2 linked regions of the Neurospora crassa OR74A genome follow. The protein of the gene in region 2 purifies or fractionates together with the protein of the main gene of each other region. This does not show direct contact. Links are inferred from orthologs where the notes say so. Each region holds a gene or a part of one and is shown on either strand. Other genes may lie near its edges.

Region 1 (8,567 bases), on a different chromosome or scaffold from region 2:
TACGTCATGGCTCATGCCTCACGAGAAGATGGGCCTACATACTAACCTGGGGGTTCTTTTGCAGAGTTGATGGAGTGCGATCTTGCTGCTATCATTAGGTCCGGTCAGCCACTTACAGACGCCCACTTCCAGTCCTTCATCTACCAGATTCTTTGCGGTCTCAAGTACATCCACTCGGCAAACGTTCTGCACCGTGATCTCAAGCCCGGTAACCTGCTGGTTAATGCCGACTGCGAGCTCAAGATCTGCGACTTTGGTCTTGCGCGTGGTTTCTCCGTCGACCCCGAGGAGAACGCAGGTTACATGACGGAGTACGTTGCCACGAGATGGTATCGTGCTCCTGAAATCATGTTGTCCTTCCAGAACTATACCAAAGCCAGTATGTCTTTTCCTCAAGCTGCCCCCTTGATATCGTTTTCAGGCTAACACTCATTCCTTAGTTGATGTATGGTCCGTTGGCTGTATCCTTGCCGAGCTTCTCGGTGGCCGCCCATTCTTCAAGGGCAGAGATTACGTCGATCAGCTGAACCAGATCCTGCACATCCTCGGCACACCGAATGAGGAGACCCTCTCCCGTATCGGCTCTCCTAGAGCTCAGGAATACGTCCGCAACCTGCCTCCCATGCCCAAGAAGTCCTTCCAGCAGCTCTTCCCCCAGGCCAACCCCGACGCCCTCGATCTCCTCGACCGCATGCTCGCCTTCGACCCTACCAGCCGTATCAGCGTTGAGGATGCTCTCAAGCACCCCTACCTTGCCATCTGGCACGATGCCAGCGACGAGCCCGACTGCCCTACCCCCTTCAACTTCGACTTTGAGGTTGTCGATGATGTCGGCGAGATGCGCAAGATGATTCTCGATGAAGTCTTCAGGTTCAGACAGCTTGTGCGCACCGTGCCCGGTGGTCAAGGACAGGGCGGTGCTCAACCCCAGGCTCCCGCTCAGGTGCCCATGCCTACTGATGTGCACAGCCAACAATGGACTGCTGAAGATCCTAGGCCACATGAGTATGGCGCGTACAACGGTGGCCTGGAGGCCGAGCTTGGTGGCATGTAAGCAATGACGGAAGGATGAAACCTTTCTATATACGATAATGAGAACGAAACGCTGGTTCGGCAAGCATCTGATGCTCAAACACATCTTGGGTTGATGCCTTGGCTGCAAAAAACAGAAAAGACGACGACATAGTATTATCGTGTTGGAAACCCCCCGAGAAGGGAACGGCTCGCCATTGAGGCGGTCTTCAATGACAGAGTGGGACAGCAGTTCTGGTCGGGCTGTCAACAGTCAGCCCTAGGAAGGCACTTGGAAAAGCAGGCGTCAGAGGCAGACCGGGAGTTCTTTTCGATGTCTGGCCAGATACCAGAGGGTGGTGAGTGGCTCACCGGAGAGACTCTTTCTGTATCTCATTCTATTCTCCTAGTCAGGAGGGAGGACTATGACTAAGTGGAAAGTTGAAGCGATCTTCAGCGAGGACTTTGGAGCGAGATGTTTACGTTGTCATTTATAGTCATAATTCTATTGGATACGCTGAATGTTGACACTGCAATAAAGCTCTTGATCGTGGTGGCGTCGTCCAGAAGAGTCCATGGTCACGCAATAAGCCTGGCATTTGGAATGGCTTTTACTGATTCTCCTAAGGTATCTATCTCGAGGTATCTAGTCCCAACCCCTTATTTTATGTGACCGTATGTATACTTTTGTGAGCCCAGATTAGTACAAAAAGCCAAAAAAGAATGTTTGAACGCCGACGCCATGCAGGGCTTGATATCAAGAAAAAACCATGATACCTAACCGAACCAAACCGAACCAACACATCCGGGATCCTTTACCCTCTCCATTTTTTTCCCCCTTCCCCGTCCTTCCTGCTTTGTGGTATAACAACACATCCCATCCGTTCTTTACATCTTTCTTATGCTCCATCCATCCACACAGCTCATCCGTATCTTTCCATTCCCTTTCCCTTCCAACCATCATGACCTTCTTCTGGTCAAACTGCAGCCTCAAGGGCCTTGTCCGAAGCTCGCTCAGCTTCCTAAGCCTCAGCACCACCAATCATCAAACTCTCCACCATACCATTCGTGATAATCGCCATCTGCGCCTTCTCCACCTCCCTGCTCACCTTACCCGTCATCACAGCAAACTGATCCGCCAACTCGGAGCTGCCGCCCACGTACTCGCTGTAGATATCAAACAGCTGGAACGCCACGTCCACGCACACGGTCGCGTACCGCGGATCCGAGATGTACTTGATGACCCACTTCAACAAAGGCAGGACAGTAACTTCGTCGCGGCCTTCCAGGGCTTCGCGGAGGGCAGACCGGTGGCGCAGCGCCACCAACACGGACAGGGCCGTCACGGGCTGGTATTCCGGAGAGGACAGGTCGAGCACGGCATCCAGACAGGCGGCGTACCGGCCCTCGCGAAAGTCGCGCTGCCACGGCTTGAGCTTGACGCGGCGCTTGCGGCCTCCGGCGGAGTTGGGCGCGTCGGTGGGGATGATCACGTCGACGTTTTCGCCGAGCAAGGCCATGGATTTGTTGGAGGCGGCGTTGCGCTTGCGCTTGGCTTTGGCGGAGTCGATCTTGGCGAGCTTGGAAGAGGCACCTGAAACCATGAGCGCGTCTTCGGCGGCGCGGGCGCGGGCTTTCTCCGCCGTGGCGCCTGACAAACGGGTGCGCAAGGACAAAACGCCGGATTGCATGCCGACTGCTAGGTGGCGGTCTTCGTGGCCTGAGCCAGCGGCGACGACGGAGAGAGAGAGGATGGGCGAGGGGTACTTGGAGCCGGAGACGACGTTCCAGTTGGTGGTTTCAAAGACTTTGACGTGCCCGTCGAGAGAGCCGGAGACAACGCGGCGGCCGTTGGAGGCGAGGCTGAGTGACGTGACGGTCTTTTGGTGGTTGGTGATGAGGCGTAAAGGTTTGGCGGCCACGAGGTCGAGGACGGAGATGGCGGAGCCGGTGGCGGCCAAGAGGGTGGTGCCGCCGGGCAAGGGGAGGACTTCCTCGATGGGGTCGGCGTGCTTGAAGGTCAGCACGGAGCCGGCGGGGGCGCGGGCGTCCCAGACGCGGACGGTCGAGTCGTAGGAGCCGGACACGAGGAGGTTGTTGCGGTCGGGCATGAAGGCGCCGCTGCGGACGTAGTCCTGGTGGCCGGCGAACAGGCGCGAGGGCGCGTTGGAGGGCAGGTCCCAGAGACGGACCGTCTTGTCGTCGGAGCAGGACATGAGCGTCGTCAGCTCGGTAGGTGACCACTTGGTGACCCAGACGGGCTGCTTGTGGACGTGCCAGGTCTTGAGGATGACGGCGCGGGTGCCGGTGCCGACGTCGAAGACCTGCATCTTGCCGGAGTCCTCGCCGGCTACGAGGACGCGGCCGTCGGCGCGGATCTCACCGCTGTGGGCCTGGGAGTCGAAGCGGCCGATGGTCTTGAGCAGCTCGCGCTTGCGGATGGAGAAGATGTCGACGCGGGGGCCCGAGGTGACGGCGAAGAGGTCGTTGGTCTTGGCGGCGGCGACGAGGGAGTGCGAGGCGGCCGAGCCGTTGCTGGAGCCGGGGAAGCTGATGTGCGAGATGGGCCATGCTGCCGTCGAGGTGTGTGATTTCTGGTTCTTGAAGGACTTCCAGTAGCGCTGCTCGGCCGTGATGGGGCTGACGACCGTGGGCAACTTGAGCGTCGCCAGCGGCTGCACTTCGGCTGCCATGGTTACGGATTGGTTATGGGTGGTAGGTTCGTTCCGTCTAGTTCGGGTAGTGTTGAAGAGAGGATACTCGGTTATCGGAATCGGGGGAAGTCGATTAGGGTCGAAATCGGATTGGGGGAGGGAGGCACGCGTCGAGGTCTTGTCGTGGTGGTGACTTTGCGGGGCTCAAAGTTCACGAATTGTTGAAATCTCCAAGTGGGAATTTTAGTTTTTTTGACGGCGATGCGATGCAAAAGCCATTGGTTGGAGCCATCGATTGGAGGCCCCGCCAAGCCGATAAAGTTTACCTACAGCGACTAGGTACCATAGTGACCAGCCCCAGGCCAGAAAACGCCAAGCTTCCAGGGTCCCGTCCTCTTCACAAGTTCCTTCTTTTGATTGGTCTGCTTGGGCTTCCATGTCGTGTGAATGTTTGGCGTTATCTTATCGTGCTGCATCCCCGCCGTCGTGATTGTAAGTCGTGTAAGTTGTCGCCTTTATCAACTGGAGACAGTCGACTGACATATAATTAATTGACTGGAGTAAAAATCCAAGAGTATTTTGATGCATGACACGCTCATTGACAATCATCATCTCCTCGGTATGTGAATCTATGATTAACATGTCATTAGGGATGTGTATCTGGAGCATTGGCCTCGAAATGGTAGCGAGTTGGTAGTCTAGTAACCTGTTGCTGACAACAACAACAACAGCGTGCGTATTGATGATGACTTGAATGTTTTATCTAGCCACAGATGTATTTATAACGAAGCGCGTATGAAAACTACTTGAACCATGAGCTAAGCTTAGAGTGAAGACGGAGAATATCAATTACAAGTCACAACCTTTTCTCTTTACACTCCATTCAGTCAATAACAAGCGCCTGGACAACTCGTATGAAACTGATAACGGTTTGTGCAACAAAAACACCAACGTCACAAGCCGGCTACTCGCAGTTTGTTTTTTTTTTTTTACTCGTGACTTTGAGATGAGAAAACAAAATCATCAAGAGATGAAAAGAAAAAGAAAAAAAGATCAAACTTCGGAGATCATCAAACGCGCTGGCTGCTCGTCGTGATGGAGAAAAGCAATGTGAAACTCGCTTCTCATCCGATCACATGATTAATTTCTTTGTCATGACTGCAACTCAGTTGCCGAGCAGATGAGGTTGAAGACACTGCACCCCCGAGGCGGATGACCGACGAAGGAGAAGGAACACAATGAAGTCTCAGGGCCACCAAAGTGTTCAGGTTGTCAAACTGAAGTTCTAGTCTTTATCTACAATCTGGTGCTTTAACATAGTTGGATAGTATAAGTTATGACGACGACGACGGGGAGGCCCGCTGATACCTACCCATACTGCTGCTGCTGCTAGAGACATGGTACTACTCCTACTCGAATTCTCCTTGAGACCTAGGCCTAGAGGTTTAGATCACGGCTAATTCATGATATAGATACAAGAATAGCGGACAGAGACATGCCGTGTATCCTTTCATTCCTTTTTTTATTTATTTTATTTTCTAACACCGTGAAACTATATTAGTAGTCGCGACCTAAGCATAGTAATTCTTTGATAGGACATTGCTTAAGCGAGGAAACAACTTTAACGCAGCCTCCGACGCAGCGGACTGGACAAATGCCTCGTCCTTTTCCGCGCCGTACCTGTCCAGTCTTGCGTTCATATCTGCAATAGCGGGCGACGGCGCATAAGGGAAATCGCTACCATACAGCACGTGGTCCGGCTTTGCGAACTCCTTTAACAGCGACAGAGTATGGGAGCCCGTCGACAATGCTGTATCAAAGTAGAACCGCTTGGCGTCCTCCATGAACTGGTTGGTAACGTCAGTCGGGTGGTGGCCCTCCTGTGCTGCTACTGCTGCTGCAACAATGGGGGGCGCAATCGAAGGTGGAAGGTACGGCAGTACCGCGGCTGGACGCAGCGCCAGGTAGGGCAAGGTGCCACCGGCGTGAGAGAGGATGATCTTTACGTCGGTGAATTCACGCATGATGCCCGAGATAATCAGGTCGACGGCGGTACGGGTAGTTTCGTGAGGATAGTCAATCATGGGCTGCGGAAGCGAGGGGTTGACCCAGTGGGTGTCCACGGGGTGCGTTGGGTGAACGAAGACGGTGGCGCGGCGTTTGTTGAGCAGGTCCCAGGTGGAGCGGAAGTCCGGGTGGCCTAGATAATGGTTGTCCGATCCGTAGCGAGTGTACAAGATGATGCCGTCGGCCTGCAACTCATCCAGCGCGTGGATGATCTCTGTATGGGCAGCCTCGGGGTCAAGCAAGGACGGAATAGTAGCGAAAAAGCCGTAGCGGGCTGGCTGGGCCGCACGGATCTCGGCGGCCGCTTGGTTAGCTTGTCGACAAAAGCCAGCCTGCTCGACGAGGGGGAGAATTTCAGCACCGGGAGCAGTGATGGTAAGAAAGGCAAAGGATATGCGTTGCTCGTCATTGAAGGACAGGTCCTTCTCCAGGCTCCAGTCCGGGATGGACCATCCCGAGGGGTCACCACCGTTAGCTCGTAAGGCTATGGCAACGTTAGCACTTCCATGGAAAAAGAAAAGAACGGATGCAAACCGCCTTGGACGCACCTTGTGCATAAAACTCCGGGACAAAATGGTGGTGAACGTCAATTCGTTGAGAAGTCATGTTTTCAGGGGCGGGCGCACGTGTTACGCTAGAGCACTGAACAGTCCGAGTTGGAAGAAAAAGAACCAGCAACTGGAGCAGGTTGGCGGTTGAAATTCTGGTCTGCATGTCGACGGGGTATAGTGACATGCCTCTGGGGCTTATATACCAGCGCGATATCACGTATACTTGTCCAGGATGTCGATAGTATGAGGATCTCGGAAAAGTGATGTACCCCAAGGTATCAATAGCTCGTATAGGGATCTCAGAAAAGTTGATATACACCAGGATGTCGATAGTATAAGTAGGGATCTCGGAAAAGTGTATACTCGGAATGCCGATGGTATAGGGATCTTATGCTATACCGACCTCCCAAACTAGTTGAAGATAAAAGAGGAAAATCGTCTATTCGATAACGCATTTCCCACACTCTTTTATATGTCCTCAAGCCTACCTAGAAACCCCTCTCAAAAAAACACCTTCACGACACAGTTGCATCATGTCCAAGCCGGTCATCGTCATCGTGCCAGGTGCTTGGCAGAAGCCCGTCGTTTGGAATGACCTTGTGCAACAACTACACACCGCAGGTTTCGAGGCTATCCATGTCGAACTGCGTACCGTTGGTAGCACAGCGACGCCTCTCCACCGTCTAGCTGACGACGTTGCAGCGGTGCAATACGTGCTCGGCGAGCTTGCCCGCCAGGGCAAGACAGCCTTGTTGTTGGGTCATTCCTCCGGTGGCCTAGTTGGCAGCAACGCGATAAAAGGCCAGGACAATGTCATAGGCATGATCTATTTGGCCACCTTCGCGATCCCTCATGGCAAGGCTTTGCTCGATATGCTCGGTGGAAAACCTCTCCCGTGGATGGAATACAAGGTAAGTCGGTCCGCCATTGTGTGTGAGTCTCACGTCAGCTGCAACTATTGCTAACTGATCAAAAGGGCGACCGGGTTTTCGGGCGTCAAGAAATGTTGGCTGACGTTATGTTCAACGACCTCAACGCCGAAGAACAGCAGAGATGGATGACCGAGATGACGCACACGTCAGCCGCGCTTTTCGCAACGCCCAGTGGCTACGAGCCTTGGAAGGATGGGATACCTTGTGCTTACATCTTTTGTGCCAAGGACCATGCGCTACCACTGGCCGCCCAGCAGAAAATGGCGGCGCAACTTGGACCAGAGGCCAAAGCCGTCACGCTTGAATCAGGCCACTGCCCTTTTCTGAGCATGCCTGAACAGCTGGTAGATGCTATTCAAATGCTCGAAGCGCAAATGCGAGGGACCTATTCATAGACCGCACCGTTTCTAGCCTTCAAGACTCCGCCAGTCTCTCTCTTCTCCTCTCCACTCCACTCCATAGCAATCAATGGATCTCGTTGACGATCCCATACTCTTAGTATAATTTGAAAAAGCGCAGTACAGGCCAGCCTGTCTGTAAGAACATGCTGGCTCAGGCTGAATGATCATTTTCGTTTCATGGACTTCATCGCGTCCACCGGCGCCGTTCTTTCGGAGCAATAAAATAATCGCTTGATGTCCTTGCGCTAACCGCCCATACCAGGAACTAGTCGCAATGAGAGAAAGCTTCCACCGTCGAAACCAGCGGCGCCGACTCCTGTAGCCACTCAGCCACTGTTTGGTAGGCACCCGTTGGGACGTGTCCGGGACGATCTTCCCCGTGTTCCCGCTTGCCGGCCCCGTCCACGTCTGGGGAGTGGGGAACCTCGTGGCTCAACAATGCTGGTCCGATGCTTGCGGCAGGGGTGCATCCATGCATACATTCCGCAGGGTTCACCGAGGGTTCACCGAGAGGAGACTCGGCGGCGGCGGGTGGTCTAAACTCTATCACAGAGGAAGAGAGCTATGTAGTACCCGCAGCTAGGGCAGTCGTCGAAGAGCTCTTTTGTACATGGGAAGGATGTGGCGCGCACGTGCCAGGCCTGATTCGGGATCGCTAGACTGAGACGAGACAGGCGGGTTCGCAACTAGCATCAGGCGTATGTTTTGATATCGAGGCATATCCAGCCTCATGATGGGACGAGGTCGCGCCGGACGTGGCTGGTGGGCGGCTGTTTGGATGGCTGGGCAGTTGCCCAAAACCTCGTGTGCTTGTGGCGGCACCACAGAACCATATGTACTAGAATCAAGCCAAAAGTTGCGATAGACGACGAGATGCACCGTAAAGGCCGAGAATGTCTCGATTGGGGACGCGACGGTAGGCGGGTTAGGGAACATCAAAGAGCTGGCAAA
Region 2 (4,258 bases):
GCTTGACTCCGTTAGTCACTTCTCACCAATGTCACGGTGCAATTTCAATCTCACGGCAGTATCTTGGAAGCTTTCTGATTTCCTTATTACATACTTGTGCTTCCCTTTCCCATCTCTTATCTTCTCTCCTTTTCGAAAACGTCAATCTGAAGATCTTTTCATCCATACGTTAGGTTAGTTAGCTGTCTGTCTTATCCAGGATACGCCCAGTTGCTGTCCGGTCTACTCCTTGACAAGTGCATTTTTCTTTTAGCTCCCTTCGCATTCCAAGGACTTGACCCGCCGAGATCGTTGAATCACATTGCTGAGAATGACACAATCATTGTCTCTCGCTGTGTTTGCAGCTGCGGCACTTTTTGCGACTAAGGGTCTTGCGAGCAACTTTACCGTTAGCAATGGCCAGATTTTCACCCCTGGTTTTGTTATCGTCGATTCCCCCCAGCCGGACACGCCTCTTGGCGGAGGTTAGTACTATTAGTACCCGGCTGGCTGTCGGCAAAGGACTTGAGGACTTGCTACTAATAAGCTTCAACTTGTGTAGACAATGTCGAGATTGCGCTCGATGTTTCTGCCAATGGCAAGCTTCCTCTACCGCCCTACGGCGACGACGCTTCCAGCCAAATCTACAACATCAACATCTTCCTTTACAGCTACGTAACGGGCCGAAACTTGACCATCACCAACGGTACTGCGTCGGCCAACAATGCCACACTCGGTGATATCATGCTCTCCGAGCCTGGTAGCACCGTGAAGCATGTCCGGTGGACATGGCCCGACTGCATGGTTGGCGATGGTACGAATGGGAACGATCGTGGCAGTTACAATGTGGGTTTTCCAAATAGTCAGCTTAAGAGTGTGTTGATAGCCATTTCACTGACAATTCAAAAGATCTCCATCCACCAACGCTTCAGACTCAATGGCGAGAACCACTACACGATATTTGATCTTCCCGTCTCTGTGACCAACAGCATCAGCAAAAGCGACGACCGCCCGTCTTGCCAATCACTTGATAACCCGTTACTGGCGCCCGAGGACATCGATTGGACAGACACTAACGAACTCGGCGCCCTCTTTGCTCCTGGTGATTCGACGGTTATTGAGACGTCGAATGTTGGTAGTGGTGCTGGGCTGGCGAGCTGCAAGCATGCACTTAACTTGTTGTGTGTGGTGGGCATTAGCTGTGCTCTGTTGTTAAGCTAGGCTCTAGACTTGCTTGTCGTCCAATAATCAAAAAGGTGGCTGTGAGATGACATAGAATCATCTGCAAGGATACCAAAACACCACGTACTCTTCATGCATATGTTCTTTTTGAAATCATATATTTGCTCTGCGTGGCTCATAATTTTAGTACTAGTTCGTGTCTGGTCAGATTTATTGTCTTCGAATGAGTTCACATAAAGTCATCTTCATCACAAAGATATTGTTAATGAAAGTAGCATTGAGGCATCAGATAAGTTTAATATATGTTTATTTTTTTACTTTTTTTTTTGTAGGGGTACTTCAAACTTATTCCTTGAACAAGGCTGGCGTGCTTGTGATAGCAAGTGGGTCCAGATTAAGTGGGACAGGATCTGCGATCTGCAAGGCTGATAACGAAAAAAAAAGTTCCCAACCTCAAAACAAACCAAACACTAGCGACTGGTCGTGGCATTTCCGTCCATTTCAACTCCATTTAACCAGGACCGGATCTCACAGCAAAAGTTCCCGTTACTGGGCTTTGCGCAATCTCCTAAATCAGAACAAAATGGCGCCACAGACGAAAGACGAAGTTTCCGACGACAACGAATTCGTCGGATTCGACGAGGAGAGCGATGAGGAGATGCACGACAATGATGGCATGTCAGTAGACGACGACGACGAGGACGACTCCGATATGGATTCAATTGCCGACCCGAGGAAAAAGTACGATATTGAAGAGAAGGACTCTGACGAAGAAGACCTCGAACGATTCGTCTTGGGCAATAACGACACCTTCCGCGCCCAGCTTTTCCGCGACGATTTCCTCGCCGATATTACCGATTCCAAGGCTCTCATTAGGACCGACAAGCAAGATGACACGACTGGCCTCGAACATGTCGACGATAACGCCCTCTTCGCGTTCGATACTGGCGTTCCCGGTAATAAGAAGCAGACAGAGGCCGCGCCCTCTGCGCTAGAGGCTTACGAGCAGAAGGAGGACCCCCCAGCGTGGGAGGACAGCGATGACGAGCGGTTGACAGTATCCCTTGCGGCTGCCTCGCGGTTGCGCAAGCTGCGTCAGTCCGAAGAGGAGGATGTCGTGAACGGCACCGAGTACGCGCGCCGCCTGCGCTCGCAGTACCTCCGACTATACCCCCTTCCGGAGTGGGCCAAGGAATCCTCGGCCGCCAGCCAGCGCCGGAGGAGAAGATCTTCAGCCGCCGGTTCCTCCTCCGAGGAAGACAGTGACGCCGAAGACGACATCGAATCCGCCCTCCCTCTCGAGACCTTCCTCCGCGACGTCAACTCTTTCAACGCCAGCGCCGATGCCCGTGGCAGCAAGCGCCGCAAGCTGCGCCCCGAGACCATCGACATTCAGCGCTCGCGCGACATCCCCGACATTCACAAGCAGTCCGTCAGCTCGTTGTCCTTCCACCCCAAGCACCCCATCCTGCTCTCGTGCAGCGTCTCCTCCATCATGTACCTACACCAAGTTGACCCGACCGCGCACCCGGTTCCGAACCCGGCCCTCACGTCGGTGCAAGTCAAGCGCACCGACCTTCGGCGCTCCGAGTTCCTCGGTCCCGATGGCGACGACGTCATCTTCGCCGGTCGCCGGCGCTACTTCCACAGCTGGAACCTCTCGTCGGGTGCCGTCAAGAAGATCACCCAGATCCAGGGCCACCAGCGCGAGCAGCGTACCATGGAGCACTTCCGTCCCTCGCCCTGCGGACGCTACCTGGGGCTCATCGCCTCCGAGAAGAAGGGCGGCGGCATGATCAACATCGTCAACGTGCGCACGATGCAGTGGATTGCGCAGGCGCGCACCAATGGCCGCGGCGGCATCTCCGATTTCGCCTGGTGGGGCAACGGCAACGGCCTCTCCATCCTCGGCAAGAACGGCCAGGTCACTGAGTGGAGCATGCTCAGCCGGCGCACGGTCGGCGTTTGGCGCGACGAAGGATCGATCGGCGGCACGGTGATTGCGCTGGGCGGGCAGAAGGGCACCGGCCCTAGCCAGATTGGTGGCGATCGCTGGGTGGCTGTGGGCTCGAATAGCGGCATTATGAACATTTACGATCGGAATGATTTGGTTGAGCCTGTTAAGAAGGAGGGTGGTGCGTCGGCGTCCAAGGAGGAGACAGTGCAGATTAAGAGCATCCCCACCCCGCAGAGGACGTTTGAGCAGCTCACGACGCCCATCTCAGTGGTGACGTTCGCGCCGGACGGTCAGCTATTGGCGTTTGGTAGCTTCCACAAGAAGGACGCGTTAAGGCTGGTGCACTTGCCTAGCTGCACCGTTTACAGGAACTGGCCTACGGAGCAAACGCCTTTGGGTAGGATCACTGCTGTGGCGTTTAGCCACCAGAATGGTGGTGATGTGTTGGCGGTGGGCAATGATGTGGGCAAGATTAGGATGTGGGAGATTAGGAGCTAGATCTGCGCATTGTGTAGTGCGTTGAGTTGGCGATAAAATAGTGCGGAGTATAAACTAGTGGTAATCTAAGGGTTTGAAGGTTTTGGGCCATGAAATTCTGTCCAGCTCGTCTAAAAGGTTTCAGCAAGTGTCAGCCCTATGGCAACGATATGTATTCCCATGCTTCTCCTTGTACGCATGACATGCATCAAACCACGTCTTCAGAGGCATCAGTATCCCCTCAATCCTCAGGTGCTTCCAGTTTCCGTTTGCTTTACCTCCTTCTCCCTTTGCGACTTCTCCTTTCCCTTCAACTTCGCCTCCTTCTTCTTCCCCAGCCTTTCCTCTCTTTTACTCTGCAACTTTTCCTCCAAATCCGGATCGAAAATGTGCTTGAGCATCGCGTGCTCCGGCTGATCTTCGATGACCTTATTCCTGGGGTAAATCTTGCGATGCCCTATTGAATACTTTGAGAGCGCCTGAGGTGTTGTGAATCGCTGCGGCCTTGACTCCCCCCCGGCCTGAATGATTCTATCGGTTTCAAGGACATCATAGATGTTGACGTGTACGGCTTTAATGGCCTGGTGAGGGCGAAAAGAAATGGGTATCAGTAATGGCCGGTTCCCCGGTAGTGTGGCCTAGAGCGAGAAGGGACCAAAGAAG

What was found.
Region 1: the proteins of NCU03018 (region 2) and NCU09843 purify together in Saccharomyces cerevisiae (affinity purification with mass spectrometry, with the first as the bait; 4 studies listed by BioGRID). This does not show direct contact. The link is inferred for Neurospora crassa OR74A from reciprocal best matches to the Saccharomyces cerevisiae genes UTP18 and UTP15.

Annotation. Positions count from the first base shown.
Region 1 is NC_026505.1:5,922,348-5,930,914, forward strand, and holds NCU09843 (WD repeat containing protein 57), read right to left. Parts: upstream 3,887-8,567; 5' UTR 3,705-3,886; coding exon 2,034-3,704; 3' UTR 1,605-2,033; downstream 1-1,604. Other genes in the region: mak-1 (mitogen-activated protein kinase MKC1), read left to right, coding at 65-379, 441-1,054; NCU09844 (amidohydrolase), read right to left, coding at 5,237-6,216, 6,281-6,467; NCU09845 (hypothetical protein), read left to right, coding at 6,817-7,194, 7,260-7,610. UniProt on the Saccharomyces cerevisiae protein: Involved in nucleolar processing of pre-18S ribosomal RNA. Required for optimal pre-ribosomal RNA transcription by RNA polymerase I together with a subset of U3 proteins required for transcription (t-UTPs).
Region 2 is NC_026501.1:8,425,986-8,430,243, forward strand, and holds NCU03018 (small nucleolar ribonucleoprotein complex subunit), read left to right. Parts: upstream 1-1,458; 5' UTR 1,459-1,744; coding exon 1,745-3,616; 3' UTR 3,617-3,794; downstream 3,795-4,258. Other genes in the region: NCU03019 (hypothetical protein), read left to right, coding at 311-464, 542-825, 889-1,200; NCU03017 (hypothetical protein), read right to left, coding at 3,844-4,233. UniProt on the Saccharomyces cerevisiae protein: Involved in nucleolar processing of pre-18S ribosomal RNA and ribosome assembly.